2 linked regions of the Neodiprion lecontei genome follow. The protein of the gene in region 1 binds, or shares a complex with, the protein of each later gene. Links are inferred from orthologs where the notes say so. Each region holds a gene or a part of one and is shown in the gene's direction. Other genes may lie near its edges.

Region 1 (7,436 bases):
GTCCTGTTGTAATCTATTCCATAAAATTTTTTCTTTATTTCTAACCATTTGGATTTTGCATCAACTGGCTGGGTATACTTTGCAATTCTTAACGAGTCCTTTCGTTCAATAAGGAGACCTGATGATTCCACTGGATCTGTTAGCCTCTCAAGGCCTTCGATAATGTCTTTAGACTGCAACATTCTCTTGTCTGAACTTTCCAGAGTCAAAGATTGTATCTTACTTTTCTGTTTCTCCAACTCATTTATCTCCGTTATATGATCTGAAACTGTCGTTGCATATTTACGATTCTCCAAATCATCTGTGTGCGTCACAATGCATGAATGCTCCGACTGGGTAGTCAATTTTCTATCCTGACACACTTGCGGAGGAACTACCGCAGCGTTTGTCTGTGACCGATCTCCTTTGTCATCGAGGCAGGATTTTGATCCATTACTTTCTTGTCCCTTGAACTCTGAGACTTGTTGCACATTACTACGTAGAATTTCAGATCCAAGCAGATTGTTTTTTACCCTTTCTTCACATTCTTCTCTATTTTCAGTTGTAGGTCTTTGTTCCAACATATAACTAATAGATGGAACAGGAACGGAATGCAGCCTCGACTTTTTACCTTTTTTGCTTATCAAGTTCGTCAGCAATATCGTTAAGCTCTCTTTACCTGTGTTCACTGTATCCAAAGAATTGTAATCAGCAAGTCGAAACTTTGAATTATGGGGTTCAACTTCGTTTGGTTTTTCTTTTTCAAATTTCTTAACATGAGATAACTTGATTTGAGGATTCTTAGACAATCTAAACTCACTTCTGAGATGTGAATTTTTGGAATGTGTCCGTCGTTTATATTCGACAACATTTTCGCCTCCCTTGGAAGTGGCATCTTTTGAACTAGTCAATGGTTCTTCGTATTGTTTGACACCCGTCTTTCTACATTCCTGAATGTTACAAAATTTGCCTGAACATTTATCTGGCAAATAATCACTGCTCAATCCAACATTGCTTACATTTTCGTGGTGTGAAGAATACGGATAATAATTTTCATTTTGTAATTGGAACCCACTGCCTTTTATTTGGTCCCCCACTCTCATTTTATCAATCATTTTCAAAGAGAGATTGACTTTCTTTTGTGGAGATAAGAGATCCTTAAGGCTTTTATGATCCGCTATCTCTGTCGGACTGATTTCGTCACTGGTTCTTAGTCCCTGCGGAACGGAGCTACTGATGGAATGAAAATCACTGCTTCGTTGAGGCAGTAATTTTTTCACATCTGTCGAGAGGTGTTTTGAATCACCCGTAATATCTGGTAACACTAAGAGCTCTGGCTCCTTTACCACCAATTTCAGCTCTTTTGAATCGTATGGCACACTTGTACCTCGGAATATCGACAACGTCAACACACTCCACAGCAAGCAAGCAACCGATCTTATAATTGTCAGAATTAATTTTCCAAAGTAGTATATTGGACACCACAGTACGTAGAAAATGCAATTTAGGATGTCCAATAGCTCTACTTTGAGATCTGAAAAAGACAAACTATATTTCCGAAAAGCGAAAAGCTGTAGAGCATTATACTTTTTGAAGGATTTTCCTAACTTTTTTTTTTATTTTCACTACTTGTTGAAATGAAAGAACCTAAGAAATTAACAAGTTATGATAGTTGTCTCTACGTACTGAGAAGTAATGAGAAAAACGGTTTCTCCTTATTTCGATGCTTGCGGTTCTTCTGTTTTTTAAGCAATTCTGAAACAAGAAAAGATAATCATCACTTGGAATTACTATACTTGATGTTTACCAGAGATTAATCTTAAAACCAGAGGTGTATTAATTGGTCTTTATGTGTAATTACCAGTTGGACTTATTTCCAAAGAGGAAACGCGCTGTTTCAAAAGAGCTGCCGGCATTTTTGTCTGAAAAAATTCTTCTCTCATAGATTTTTCAGTCATCCTAGATACCTACAACAAAAAAACATAAACACACCCGTGTATGAAAAACAGACAGAATTAGATGCACAAAGGAATTTCGTGGTCGGAAATTCAATACTTTCACTTAGTTTTGCAGGTAAGTTCTACTTCCATTTTTACCCTGCTTTTTTCCTGTAGCAAGTTCTGAAAATCACATCGAAGCTGAAGAGTGTAAGAGTTAACGCTGAGATTGCTGCGAGAAAATTCATTTTCATGTCCGTTACAATGGTAAAAAGGATCTTGAAGTCCATTGATTCTATCTGTGATAGGCTGAAGTTTTGCGTATCTGCTGCGCACCATGTCTGAAAATAAAAAAAATGAGTCAATGTCTACTCTACTAAGCTATGCATAAAATTGTTCGAGCTGTACGATTCAAAGTTGATTACTTGCACATGTTATTCATGTTGAATTTTCTTCAAATATTGGAAGGGTCGAAACATTCCTAGGCTTCGTTAATTGAGGAATTGAGGAAAAGAAAAATCGTTGAGAAGATTTTAGAAATAAAATAGGGATAAACGCTGTGACATAGAAGACTAGGATAATGTGTCGCAGGTGCTTTAGTTAGAAAATCTAAAGTTATAAATTACCTTTTCCATTAATTCTCTCCATTTTGAAAATTATGTTGATTGAATTGCAGTTAGTCAGAGAAACATGATTGATGAAAATAATCCTTTGTTATTAACACGTAAAATTAAGTCGAGATTGAAATTGATATGACAATTTAAAGTTGAGCAATAATTTGCAATGAATTATGATATGATGACAATTTATTGTTTAACCGTAAGTGTCAAAATCCCATGTATTCAAGAGTGAAGTTAAAATTGAACGTGGGCTCGAAAATAAATGAAGAAAATGAAACAAATAAATAGATCGACTATCGTCCTTGTTCAAAATGTTTAAAGTTAATCCGCGTTCCGCAATGCTTTATGGGAAGTCCCCGCGCTTACCAAACCAGAGCAGACGACTTATTTAATTCACGATAAGAAAGCTAGTAGCCGTATTTTTCCAACTTTACTCAAGCGCGATGCTTTCGCGCCTCGGCTCAATTTATTAATTAATAGGAATTTTTCAACGTCACGTGCTTTGTCATTAACTAAGAACTTATTCTTATTATGGAATTTAAATGAGAGTGACTTTTCAGTGAGCGAAATTCAATCGCCGCACGCTTCGTTGATCAGTAAACTAACTATGGCGGTTCGGATATCCCATTTATTCCGTAATAGATTTAAACAATTTTTTAAAACCTATAGTACAAATTCAGCTGAGATAAGCAAAGCTAAGGATCCTGAAGTGACGGAGCAAGTGAAGGAACGGCTACTAGATCGTTGGGGTAAGAACAGGTCATGTTAATTTTTGTTCGAGGTTAAGTTAGGTTAGGTATTTACAGGTTATATTATATTTATATAAATTTGACGAAGCAATTCACAGAATATAGGGAGATCGGGTGTTAGCTTAGAGTATGCGAACTTGTTCGATAATCATTCGATAATTGTCACCTGTTTTATTTTCATTGTAGCAAAATATTGGAAGAATCTCTTCATTGACTACAGAGATGTGGCTAAGGATGTTGCACAAGGATGTAAGGATCGGCCTATTCGTGCTTCAATCTATTTCTCTCGTAAGTGAAAAATCATATTTCTTAATTTCCCGCAGTGAAACCTGCTGGAATGAGAGACAACTTAGTTTTTTTTTCTTTATCTTTATGATCTTAGATGTATCACTATACTTCTTTGTAAAGGATTCGCAGCTCATAAAAATACATGTTTAAGCCCACTATAGCTGCTCATCATTAGTGCAGATAACACTAATTATTGCAGTGAATCAAACCAAAAATACAAAAGAAAAATATATTTATTTAGAGTCAGAGGAGCCAGTAAATGTTCTGTATTCGGTATGAAATTTTCGTGTGAATTGGTTTATGTTTCAGTTCTAGGCAGTGTATACTACTTTTCACGACACAACCCTAGTCCAGATTCGTACAGAAACATGTTGATAGAAGAATCAAACAAGATGATGATGGTTGGAGAACCAATTCGGAATCGTCAAAGTGTAAGGCATTTGAAATCGATAGAACAGTGCTTCAATGAAGGGATCATACGCAGGTTGAGCTTGGGGATTGTTTCTTTTATATGGTTGGATAACTACGATAAAGAATGTGCTCACTACAAAGCAACATGTTCGTATCTCAAACCACAGTATTTAGGATTTCATCACAGAATAGTTGACATTGGTTTCATGGATAAGTGGTGGCTACTGGAGGACAAAATGACTGATTTTGATATAAATGAAGAGGAATTTAAAAACTTCTCCACTTCGCCAGATAAAATCGGCTCATAATGAGAATATCGAATATTATTGACGGATAAAATTACAAATATTAATTATTATAATAGTATTTATACATATGTACATATAGAAGGTTTATTCATTGAATAAATGTGCCTTCACACACAAGTATGGTAAATTTTTTTAAACTTATATATGCACTATTGATACTTTGGGATCGAAAGCTGGAATTTATTAGAGAATTATATTACAAGATGATGGAAAAAGAACGTGGCGGAATACTGCGCTTGAAAAAGATTCGAATGCTTCGAATTCATTAATTTCTGATAAAGTTGTAAATAATTTACTATTATTGGCCTATTCTGTTAGATCTAATCAAAAACTCGCGTGAAGGTAGTTGAAATGAAAACGTTATTTCAAGATATTTTCAATGAATTGTCCAACTCTCGTCAAAAGTCTCATCTAATTTCATGAACGGTGTAAAAAATCCCAACAGAGTTACCTTCTTATGAGAATATTCATGGTCCATGATCGATTGTGGCAACGGTTGCGCAGCGGGAGATAGAGAGAGGAGAGGAAAGCTGAAGACAAAATAGCTAATGCCGGTTGACAGCCGCAGTGATCCGTGGCTGTTATAAAATTCGGTAAAAGTTCAAGAATTCAAAATCTGGATTCGAAATCGCATCGATCCGCGACCGTGAAACGATACCGGATTTAATATTCAAGGGAAGCGTTCTTGTACCACCGAAATTTCAAACAAACACGAAGACGATTTTGTTTTCTCATACAACAATCGGCGAATAACAGATATAGAATCCAAAACTAGAGCTTGATGTTGTAACAGGATGGATCGCGAACTGATTGAAAAATTCATCGAAGTCACAGGTTAGCCCAAAAGCGAACAGTAATAATTGAAATATCAATTTCATTATACTCAGTTCTATATTTTGCCGTTAACACAAATTCAATGCTTCAATGTGACTGTACGAACAGTTGAATCGGTAAACAAAGAATGCAGGAGTCCGTTTCTCTGTTTTACTTCACATTGAAATGTTTATTTCCAAAGAATTGTATTACAGTAATATTCTACCCATTTTACTAGCCTTACCAGCATAACACATTTACCATGGGTTTTATTTCAATTCACCCTAGCTGACCTTGATCTCATCTGACCTAATCTTGAGTTTCCCAAGTTTTCCTCACTTTGATTCATTCATCTAACCTAACTTTATCCAATACTGCCCTTTTTGTGTTAACCTAACCTAATTTGGTTTCAAATTATTTTCTTCCCTCTCTTTCATGAGAACATTTTTTCCAAATTCCAGGATCCAGCGAGGCTGTCGCCAGACAGTACCTCGTGGTGGCTGACGGCAATGTAGAGACTGCTATTAGCCTGATGTTTGAAGGTGGCGGAGCAGAGGCAGTAGCAGACGTAGACGGTCAAACTGAACCCCCAGAACCAGAGATCAGGCCGCCAATTCTACCTACTCGAGAAGTGTTGGTACCAACACAGCCCGTCTGTGCGTTCCCCAGAGCATCGAACAGTGTGTTTGATAGATTTAGGGACTTTGCGGTAGAAACACGTAAGGAACAAGAGGCTCTCGATAACCGGGACGGCTTTTTATCCTTATAAATCGGCGTCGGCTTACCTTATTTCATCGTACTTTTTAATTACCAAAAAGTTTATGCAAGATATGTTTGTAATACGCGATGCAAATATCATCTTGATGCTGAGAATCGGCGTGAAACATCAATTTTTAGAGTTTCCTTTTGAGTTACATGGATTCAAGTGAGTTTCAAGCTAATATGCGATGTTTAAATTGAATGAATTAACTGATGCCAGAACGCCAGGAGGAGGAAATGGCGCGGAGGGTAACAGGGGTGAAAAAAATGTCACCAAGGAAGTCCAAGCGCCTGGAAGACCTCTTCAGACCCCCTTACGACATCATGTTTTTGGGATCATTCATCGAGGCTAGGGAACATGCGAAGCTCATAAACCGATGGCTTCTTGTTAATGTACAAAATCCACTTGAATTCTCATGCCAAATACTTAACAGAGACCTGTGGCCCAATGAGCAGATCAGGGATATGGTCAGGGACCATTTCGTTCTGTGGCAGGTAATTATATCGATCGCATACTTATTATTAGGAAATTTAACTCATACTTGACCTTCCATCGGTAACAGAGAAAAAGAAATATTATATATATGTAGATCCAGTAACGGCCTTTAATTTTCTACTCATGTGTAACTAGCGTTTGCCATATCCTCAGGTCATATCTAACACATCTGACGGTCAACGCTTCATCGACTTCTACAATGTCACTGATTACCCTTATCTAGCTGTTCTGGACCCAAGAACAGGCGAGTGTGTCCGGACATACGACCGGTTTACGGTAGAACATCTAGTTTCAGGGCTAGGTGACATGTTGAGCAATCATCTATCCCCGGAAACTGCACCGCAGGTTCCTTCTACCGCTACAGACGACTGGCTATCATGCCCTGCAGGTTCCATGGTCCGGCGGTGCGATGTGCCTTCCGAATCTTCGGCAAGTGTTCGTATGATGAAATACTTTGGTGATCATGTTTTCTTTATGCTGCGAAAGGCAAGAAAGAAATTGATAATTTTCGTAAATTTTAATTTTTGATCTTAGGGTATGACCCCAGAAAGCAAAAAAGCCAGAGGAATTCGAGACACGGCCGTGGAATCAGGTAACAAATTAACTACACCAAGGCATCAATGAAATACTCTGTTGTCCCATCATAATAAGCCATATTGCAATCTTCCAGCTAACAATGAACGTGTCGATGCTGGGCCCAGCGCGAGTAACGTAATCCTTCCTCGTAGTGGCGTTAGTATCTTAGGAAAACGGTCGCGAACGGAGGAATTATCAAAGACGAAAAAGCACGAAATTCTACATTCTTTATTACAGAAAAAGGTACGTCTAACACTAGTTGCAAATCAGCTTACCCCCACATTCTCTCTGAACCTCTTTTTACTTTTTCCTATCTTGTCCCTTTGATTTCTTACCTCTAAAATTTGAAATATATGATTGCAGAACGGTGAACCGAGTAATTCTGAGCCCAACTCAACCGTTGTAAATTCAAGTAAGTATAAATAACTTGATTTTTCACCTCTTGCATAATTTGATCCACAAATTATTGAGTCTTCGACTATTTGTTATGATCGTTCAAC
Region 2 (9,730 bases), on another chromosome or scaffold:
AGATGCCTTGATTCAGCTTCAGCATGAAGTTGATAGACTTCTGGCAACAGCCCCTCCAAGTGAACAAGATCGATTGAGTCGCGAATTCAAAGGCTTCACTCGCCTGTTCGATAGATTCCTTCAGGAAGAAGGACCTTCTCTAGAATGGAATCGCATACAGAAATTACCAGAAGCTGCTGTAAGTTTCAAATTAATACTTCTGTCGCCTGATTTTTCATCCTTGACTCTTTAATTTTTCTGTAAAGGTACGCGACTACACAACACTTCCAACCCCAGCAGAGGAGGTCATCAAAAGTATGCTAGAGAAGTTGGTAGTCGTAAAACTGAACGGTGGTCTTGGAACAAGTATGGGTTGCCATGGTCCTAAGTCTGTCATTGCTGTTCGAAATGATTTAACCTTCCTCGATCTCACTGTACAGCAAATTGAGGTGAGTTATGAGTGAGAGATGTCTGCAGGCTGGTTTAAATCCCCCGTTTCCACAGATCCATTTATGTATGTTAAGTTGTTACAAACGTCATATGTTTTGAAGTATATATTTGCTCAAAAGCCATGTCGAATTGGTATCCAATAATCTTGGTTCTGGTTGATAGTAAGTTGCACAAGTTGTAATGGAACAAACTTTTTCCAGGATCTGAACAAAACCTACAATGCTAATGTCCCTCTCATACTGATGAATTCGTTTAACACAGACGAGGATACACAGAAAATAATCAGAAAGTATAAGGGCTTAAACGTTGATATTTACACCTTCAACCAAAGCTGCTATCCACGCATTAATCGAGATTCACTGCTACCTATTGGAAAGAACTGCAATATCGATCAAGACATTGAATCGTAAGTTTTTCATTTGATATGCAAATAATTCACACCCGCAGACATCAAATTTGTACCGGCGGTTTGATTGTTATTGAATTTTAATTCGAGGTAACATATTCATTTGGCACGTGTCTATAAAGCCAATGAAGTATATCCTGTTAGGTGTAGAAATTCTCAGTTTCAAAGGTCAGTAAGTCAAAAACACATTTTTCACAGTTAGGCTTTGAGAGCGGGGCCCTCCTCAGAAAGACTAAAATATTTATTCAACACATTATCATAATACTTATATATAAACATTCAACCACAATTTATAAAAAATATTATAATAATGCGTTGAAGAAATATTTTAGCTTTTCTGAGGAGGGTCCCCTTCAGAGCCGAAATGTGAAAAATGTTTTTTTGACTTACTGACCTTTGATACCGAGAATCTCTGCACAGCAATTCACGATAAGGTCGAGAAATCAATAAACATTATATTCTGTTAATCTGCTGTAGGGCTCTGCAATAATTTCCATTTGATTTACATGTTTGCTGATCACTTACTTCAATTTGCAATTTATAGATGGTATCCACCTGGTCACGGTGATTTCTATGAAAGTTTCCAAAACTCTGGACTGCTAAATAAGTTCATTCAACAGGTAATGTAATATTGTTACAATGATAATTCGTATGATATTTATTTTATGCTCAAAACTTTTGAATTCCACATGTCGCAGTATATGTAATAGTTCCATCTCTATTTTAGGGTCGCAAATATTGTTTCATTTCTAACATCGATAACTTGGGTGCCACTGTAGATCTCAATATTTTAAATCTGCTGCTTAATTCCAAAGATGTAATTTCACCAGAATTCGTGATGGAGGTCACCAATAAAACTAGAGCTGACGTTAAGGTAATGTCTACGGAATGATTAAAAAACATCGTGAAAAAAGGTTGATACTTCCACAAACCTTACTTATATTTTGCGGTCTAAATGAAGTCAAAATGTATCGAATGATAACTTCAATATGTGTTATTTATTTAGGGTGGTACCTTAATCCAATACGAGGACAAGCTACGACTGCTTGAAATAGCTCAAGTACCAAAAGAGCATGTTGATGATTTTAAATCTGTGAAGACTTTCAAATTTTTCAATACCAACAACTTATGGGTCAGCCTCACTGGTAAGCACGGAACACGCTATTCAGAATTTATGAAATTGTTCATTAGCTAGTTTCAATTGCGAACATTATTTCTTGCAGCTATTGAGAGAGTCTTAGAAGAAAAAACACTCAACATGGAAATTATTGTGAATAACAAAAGCTTGAGTAATGGTTTGAACGTTATTCAACTAGAAACAGCTGTAGGTGCAGCTATGAAATCCTTTGATGGAGGTCTTGGTGAGTTCACCCAATACTTGCAGTCAAATAAAATTATGCTAAACTATTTCTTAACTGTACATTAACTCTGTAATAAATACTCTATCCAAGCAAAAAATGCCAACCATTTGAAAGTTTCAAACAAATTCCTTAACTGTTTCGAAAAATCTTTATAGAAATTTAGACTACTTTCATATAATGCTAATTTTTTAATTTTTTTTTTTCTCTGATCTATAGGCATCAACGTACCACGTAGCAGATTCTTACCTGTGAAAAAGACCTCTGATCTCATGTTGGTGATGAGTAACTTATACAGTTTACGCAAAGGAGCTCTCCTCATGAGTCCCCAGCGGATGTTTCCAACTACTCCACTCATCAAACTTGGCGATAATCACTTTTCAAAGGTGCTATTATTATCTCATAAGATAGCTGTCTATGTGAGCTATATTTTAAATTTAACAGTTCTCTAAAAGTGAGGAACAAATTACAAGTCTATTAAAACCAGGAATCAATACGTAATTGATTCACAAATACCAACGTTTATGACGTTTGTGCCCAGATTATTGTTAGCTAATTAGAATAATACTTGAAGCATTGAAATACCATAATCGACGCAAGGTTGTGATGCTCGCGGAAAATTGTATTTTTTTCATTTGTTCCGCACGTGTTGCAAGCTTTGTTACTTTAGGAATTCTATAAGAGATAAACCAATAATCCTGATTACACTTCACGTATTCTAATTATTATTAATTTTTTCAGGTAAAAGAGTATCTACGTAGGTTTGCCTCAATCCCAGATCTCTTAGAACTGGATCATCTAACTGTATCCGGCGATGTTACATTTGGAAAAGGAGTTTCTCTCAAAGGCACAGTTATTATTATAGCAAATCATGGAGACCGTATCGACATACCTTCGGGAACTATTTTAGAAAATAAAATTGTATCCGGAAATCTACGTATTTTGGATCATTAGTTTATGGTATATCAAGTTTGTTCATCACATGCACAAAGTCTTGTGTGTGGGTGTATATATATATATACATATACACTAGGCCTAAGATTAGCAAAAAAATGTGTACAAAATGTGTAATGATAATTAATTATACCCTCGCTGAATAAGTTTTAGTGGTCTAATTTTATTCGTTACTTATTGTTGCAATTTGTAAGTTTAGCTTTATCTTATTATATGTATATGTATAGTATTTATGTACATATACAAAATTTAAGAATGAAAATATTAACTCAGAGATCATCGGAAGCACTAATTCTGAACACTTGAATGGACATTAAAAATACCACATACAGGCAAGATATTACTTATAATGAAAAAACAAAATCGGAATAATATTTACTGTAAATTCCTTGTATTCCAATTTCTTACGTGCTTTGGAACATACAAATGTTATTTCAACGAAAAATTGCCGTCATGAATATCCAGGTGCAAACTTCAGGGCCCAAGTCGTTCCGATTCACTGGATGTTTCATCGGGTTGTTAGCATGAACACTTAGCATGTGTATGTTTGTAACTGCAGTGGCGTATTCATCTAGAAATATGTTCTTCGTGAGTAATAGACAGAAATTTCTAGTATTTTTAATATTTGTTTGTTGTACATACATACATACGTAAAATTCAACTTCGCTCTATTTCTCTGCTATCCGTATATTGGCTTATAAACTCCCCCGATTTTGATTCCTTTTTTCTGTGGATAACTACAACGTCTGACCAGGTTTTAAGACATATTTTGTTACAACCAGATCGATCGTTTTGAAGATATAACAATATTTGTAAGCTAAGTCTGAACGGGATCATACACTTGTGAAAGCTCTGATTAAACTCTTATATGGAGGAAAGTTAGGCTCAAGAGTTTTCAAAAATCTCTATGAGCTTCACAATGGTTATGTCTTATAATCTCGCCACAAAAAGCATTTAAAAATATTAGCGGGCGGAGCCGTAACGGGAAGAGGGATATTATTTAAAAATTGTGCACACATATAGCGCGTTCAAATTTCCCATGCAACAGACGAAACCAGCGCTGCGCGGCGTTATCGGTACTACGAATTTCCAACCAAATGTGTCTCACGTTTGCCGTCGAAAAGAGTACGGAGTTATGTCTCCTTTCCTTTTCCTACTTGTTGAAAATGCTCACGCAGAAAATCAGGACAGTGAGTTATGTATGTAGGTTATGTTGCATGACGAGAATTCCGTTCATGAATTTAAATCTCAAGACTCATTATTATTTGTAATTCATAATTTAGTAGTGGAGGCCGTGATAAATTTATTCACCAAAACATGGATTTAAGGGAGATAAGAAATGTTTGTATTTTCTGTTATAATTTGTCATCAATTGAATGCTGCTTCTATTTACTTCATAAGCAATTCTTATCGCGCTCTACCATAACACAGAATTGACATTATTTGAATAATTTTTATTGCAGTTCAAGGATTTCCTTACGCTCTACAATCAAATATCTGACACATGCTTCAAACGATGTACAAATACATACAATTCCAGAGACATGGATGTGGATGAGGTGAGATGATCGATCGGTGAATGTTTTCTGAATTTTGGATAAGATTCAGATTTCAGTTCTTTTTACACCATATAAAAATACTTGCAGCTTTCCAATATTATGTATATTCATTACACATACATATCTTTGCAGCATGTATTGAGAATAACTATTTATTTGTAATGCCATAGGAAGCTTGTGTAAATAACTGTGCCCAGAAGCATGTAAAAGCGAATACCAAAATGATGAAAGTCTATATGGAGGTACTACCTGTTTTAATGAATAAAAGGACAGAAGAAATGAATGCTGCTCAAGCTGCAGCTATGGCACAGCAGCAACAACTGCAGCAAGACACCCAAGACACAGAAACTAGTCAAAATTTACGACAAAGTCAGCCACTGGTCTGACCCACAATTTAGCCTTTCGTTTTATGTTATTTAATATTTTATATTACATTATTTTATAATATGATATATTTATTTTACTTTATGCTGTTCACCTTTTCAATATTGTCAGGGTGTGTTATGTTGCTCAGCTGTTCCTTGTTTGGCAATAGGGTCAAAATAAGATTGCTTTGAGCCTCTTTGTCATACTGATTGTTGGTACAGGTCTTTTATGATTCAAGGATTCCTTAAGGACCAGCATTTTTCAATTCATGGCTCTCCTTATTATGCGCTTCGTAATGGCAGTCATTTGAAACAGATATCCTCTCAGGAACGTCTTTCTTACAGCAAGCTGGTAGCAGCAAGATTGTTTTGCAAGCAATATGTAATACGTCTTCCTCCTGTTGTATGCAGCGGTTGGGAGTGTAATCATAGTTAACTACTCTGTAAATATTTTCAACGTATAAAAACTGAATTTGTTCATTCAACCTTTGCATTGTGTAATTGTATGTACATATTTTTCTTACCATATTCTCTGGTTCTTTGCATTTCAGATTTTGAGAATGAGTGAATGGCAAAAGTACAAGTATTCAGTTTATTAGATTTTCTACATAAGTTGTGATATATCATCTTGCTAAGATTGGAAATCAAAATGTAAACAAAGCAAAGACCAGTTTCGTCTTAATTAATACATATTTGCAAGGAACATTGAATATTATAACATTACTTTTCAAGTGATTCTAGGTAAGTAATTAGTTGAAATTTTTCAGTCTGACCATCCTACTGTTAAAAAATAATAAGCCAATTAGTTTAAATAATAATACAGGGCCGTACATATTACATAAGCATTGATTTATTATTGAAAATGTGTGTATATACAGAATACGGTATGTATGTATATGTATATATACGAATAATATTATTACAGTTTTGTTATAATATCAGAACACGACTACAATATATTGCCTCAATACACTGTTTTAAAGTTTAACGGTTCTCTGTCGTCAATTTGCTAAAAATTATAGCATGAACCAAGCAAAATGATATTGTTGCATTTGAAAGTAATAGTGTTTTAAAATTTTAAAATGCTCACACAAGCTTGTAGTAAATATCATTTTGATTGTTCAATTCAAACGTCAAAATATCTCTAAGATCTGACGTAATAACATACTGCTTTCTGAAACTACTACTTTCCCCCATTTTTTTTTTTTTTTTTTCGACATTGTCACAGATTCACATCTAAAGCTGTCACAAATACTGGTGTGGAACACTAACAGTTTTAAAACCCATGTGACAGCAGACGTGGTTACACAAATTACTATATGTGCAATGGTCTACATAATGTACCTGTGATGTGTATGAGATCAGCGACATTTCAGTCTGTACATCAAGTAATCGTAATTAGGAATGCAACTTTACATTTTTTCTTAGCAAAGCAAATTCAATTGAAATCGCGTAAATTACAGATAGGAATCTATTGCATGTAACAAAAGGGGACCGATTAAAAAACCAGGTATATCGAGTGCTTCAATGATTTAGAAACATTATTCTTTTGACGTACTTGTAATTTCCATCACTCAAGCATTTATTTCTCGTATTTCATGAATAATTGCGTTGCCATGTTAAAGGAATGAATTTAATGTGTATGGCATTGATATACAAATTGGTTTCACGATATTAGAATCACTTCTTTACCTGCCAAAATGTGAATGAATAAATTAACTTCACATGCCTATGAAAATAATAAATAATTATTATTTGCCTGCAAATCTATAAGTACTCGAAATTACTTAAAATATTTTTTATAAGCTCGCCCATTTGCATTCACATACCTGTAATGCAGTGTTAAAATTAAACTTAATAAGCGTTTGATTTTTTATATAAATATCCTATACAGCACTCCTACTGGTAATGGAAAGTATATAAATAAAAATTAACAATCATTAAAAATATAAAAAATCACAGGAGTTAGCAGACTAATTTTTGACAACACATACTCATCAGCAATATTAGCATTTTTACCCAAAATATATGAGTATATTTTGTATTTGTATTGTCTACTTATATTGTCAAGTGACAAGTTATTCAAATACACTTATGTATATATAACAGGCCTAATCACAAGTTTCGTACTCCAGTAAACAATATTGTGTACTTTTTTAATAGATTTTGTTCTCTTTTTCTGATTATAAGTAAATATAAACGATTTTTTTCTAAACGAAATTTCAGTTCTGATTATGTACAAATACAGACGTATTTGCATTCTTGTCTACAAAGTTGATATCCGCAATTTTATCGTGTCAACCATTGCCATATGAGTGCTGTAGTATATTTTTATTCATTAAATAGTAAAGCTGGGTGAAAAATTAAAGCAGGATAATCAACGTTGCAAAACTTCTGTACTCAAATTCATTTTTCCCATCTATATTACTCTTGTATAAGTATGTCATTGTCTCAGCCGAATTTTATTTTCTATTTTTCAGTAAATATCCTAATATTTAATGACTAGGCCCTATTTTAACATGTACTTTCGAATCTACCAACGATTCTATCTAATCTTATCGACGTAAGTTTCTCAATTTTTTTTTTTCGTAAATAAAATGTACCACATTCAACTACTTAACTAATTAAAGGTGAATACCGTGTGGAATACATATGAAGCTCTCGGGTCTTCATTTAATAGTCCGGTCAATTTAGACATTTCGAATCACAATAATTCCGACAGAGCTGAACTTTGGTAGAGACCTTGGGTTTACCATTATAAAGAAAGATAAAAAATTCCCCATCGATACCATGTGTGCTAAAAAAGTTATTCAAGGTCAAAGGTCAAAATTTTTGGTTTTTTCGATTTTTCTCGTTAACGGTTAATTTTATCAAAAAAATAGCTTAAACCAAAATTGTAGATCATAAAATTATCCACAAAAATGGTCTCTATACTTTTTTTTCCTAAGAATCATCATTTCTGAGATATCGCGATTCTGAAAGTCGAACGAGTTACATTCTATATAATATGCACGCATATTATATATGTCACGGATATACATAGTATATGTATAGTATATACAGTGTATATATAGTATATATTATAATATATATGTATAGTATATACACTGATATAGTTAGAATATATACAGTATATATTAGACTGCCTAAGAAAGAAAAAACAATTTTTTTTTTCGATCTCCGGCTTCATGAAATCGTAGTTTATAACATAATATTGAACCTCGTGAAAGGAAATCGCCGTGCGATTTTTTTAAGAGGTGCGACATCGAGATTTTGTAATTCCCATTTGATTAATACGTAAGAAATTCAATTCTGACGGTTGGAGGGAGATAATAATTTTTCTATGCAATGAACAGAACTCTATATAGTAGTGCTTGACAGTTTATATGTTTTCTTCGAATGTATTTGACGGATATTATTCAACATTGTAATGTGATCCAGTTGAGGAAGCTGGGAGTTTATCCTAGGTACCCATTTTTCGAAAAGGCGAAAAACCACGTTTTACGCAATGTTGAATCACTCGAAGATCGTGCGATCAAAAAATTTCTCCGACACGGCAATTCGAAGAAAACATATAAACTGTCGAGCGCTACTATATAGCGTTCCGTTCGTTGCATAGAAAAATTATTATCTCTCTCCAACCGTCAGAATTGGATTTCTTACGTATTAATCAAATGGGAATTACAAAATCTCGATGTCGCACCTCTTAAAAAAATGGCACGGCGATTTCCTTTCACGAGGTTCAACATTATGTTATAAACTATGATTTCATGAAGCTGGAGATCGAAAAAAAAAATAGTTTTTGTTTTTTGAGGCAGTCTAATATATACTGTATATATACTAAGTATATCAGTATATATACTATATATATATATATATTATAATATATACTATATATACACTATGTATATACACTGTATATACTATACATATACTGTGTATATCCGTGACATATATAATATGCGTGCATATTATATAGAATGTAACTCGTTCGACTTTCAGAATCGCGATATCTCAGAAATGATGATTCTTAGGAAAAAAAGTATAGAGACCATTTTTGTGGATAATTTTATGATCTACAATTTTGGTTTAAGCTATTTTTTTGATAAAATTAACCGTTAACGAGAAAAATCGAAAAAACCAAAAATTTTGACCTTTGACCTTGAATAACTTTTTTAGCCACATGGTATCGATGGGGACTTTTTTGTTTTTCTTTATAATGGTAAACCCAAGGTCTCTACCAAAGTTCAGCTTTGTCGGAATTATTGTGGTTCGATCACTATTTTTATGTCTAAATTGACCGGACTATAAGTAAATGGTCTGATTATTTTATCACTCATGATCGCAACAGATTAGAAGAAAATGGCCAGGCAAGATCTAAAAAAAATTCAGTAATATAATATCATTACTAATGCATCCAAAATAATATAATCAATGTTTCATGCGCTATTTTTTTTATCACAATAGAAATGTAGAGCAAGAACAAATACACCAAGTTGCAACAGACACAAAATAAAAAAGATTACAGAGATATAGATCATTATTATCACGTCATTAAGCATTACTATTGTCATTTATTAAAATATATCGTACCCGAGGTATATTGAATGTCATGATTTTTAAGACATCAGATTTTAGAATTGTCGATTATTCAGGTTT

What was found.
Region 2: mitochondrial import inner membrane translocase subunit Tim29 (region 1) and mitochondrial import inner membrane translocase subunit Tim10 B share a complex: the UniProt entries of both Homo sapiens proteins name them as parts of the TIM22 complex. The link is inferred for Neodiprion lecontei from reciprocal best matches to the Homo sapiens genes TIMM29 and TIMM10B.

Annotation. Positions count from the first base shown.
Region 1 is NC_060264.1:30,475,838-30,483,273, forward strand, and holds mitochondrial import inner membrane translocase subunit Tim29, read left to right. Parts: upstream 1-2,950; 5' UTR 2,951-3,143; coding exon 3,144-3,285; intron 3,286-3,471; coding exon 3,472-3,573; intron 3,574-3,882; coding exon 3,883-4,292; 3' UTR 4,293-4,409; downstream 4,410-7,436. Other genes in the region: uncharacterized protein LOC124294430, read right to left, coding at 1-1,513, 1,666-1,734, 1,841-1,946, 2,076-2,257, 2,543-2,564; UBX domain-containing protein 7, read left to right, coding at 5,087-5,126, 5,567-5,824, 6,085-6,359, 6,514-6,795, 6,895-6,952, 7,031-7,179, 7,300-7,348. UniProt on the Homo sapiens protein: Component of the TIM22 complex, a complex that mediates the import and insertion of multi-pass transmembrane proteins into the mitochondrial inner membrane.
Region 2 is NC_060263.1:26,784,795-26,794,524, forward strand, and holds mitochondrial import inner membrane translocase subunit Tim10 B, read left to right. Parts: upstream 1-3,945; 5' UTR 3,946-4,244; coding exon 4,245-4,346; exon of another isoform or gene 4,347-4,464; coding exon of another isoform or gene 4,465-4,488; intron 4,489-4,610; coding exon 4,611-4,706; intron 4,707-4,876; coding exon 4,877-5,092; 3' UTR 5,093-7,862; downstream 7,863-9,730. Other genes in the region: UTP--glucose-1-phosphate uridylyltransferase, read left to right, coding at 1-178, 246-428, 630-835, 1,380-1,455, 1,563-1,709, 1,842-1,980, 2,059-2,196, 2,413-2,579 and 1 more. UniProt on the Homo sapiens protein: Component of the TIM22 complex, a complex that mediates the import and insertion of multi-pass transmembrane proteins into the mitochondrial inner membrane.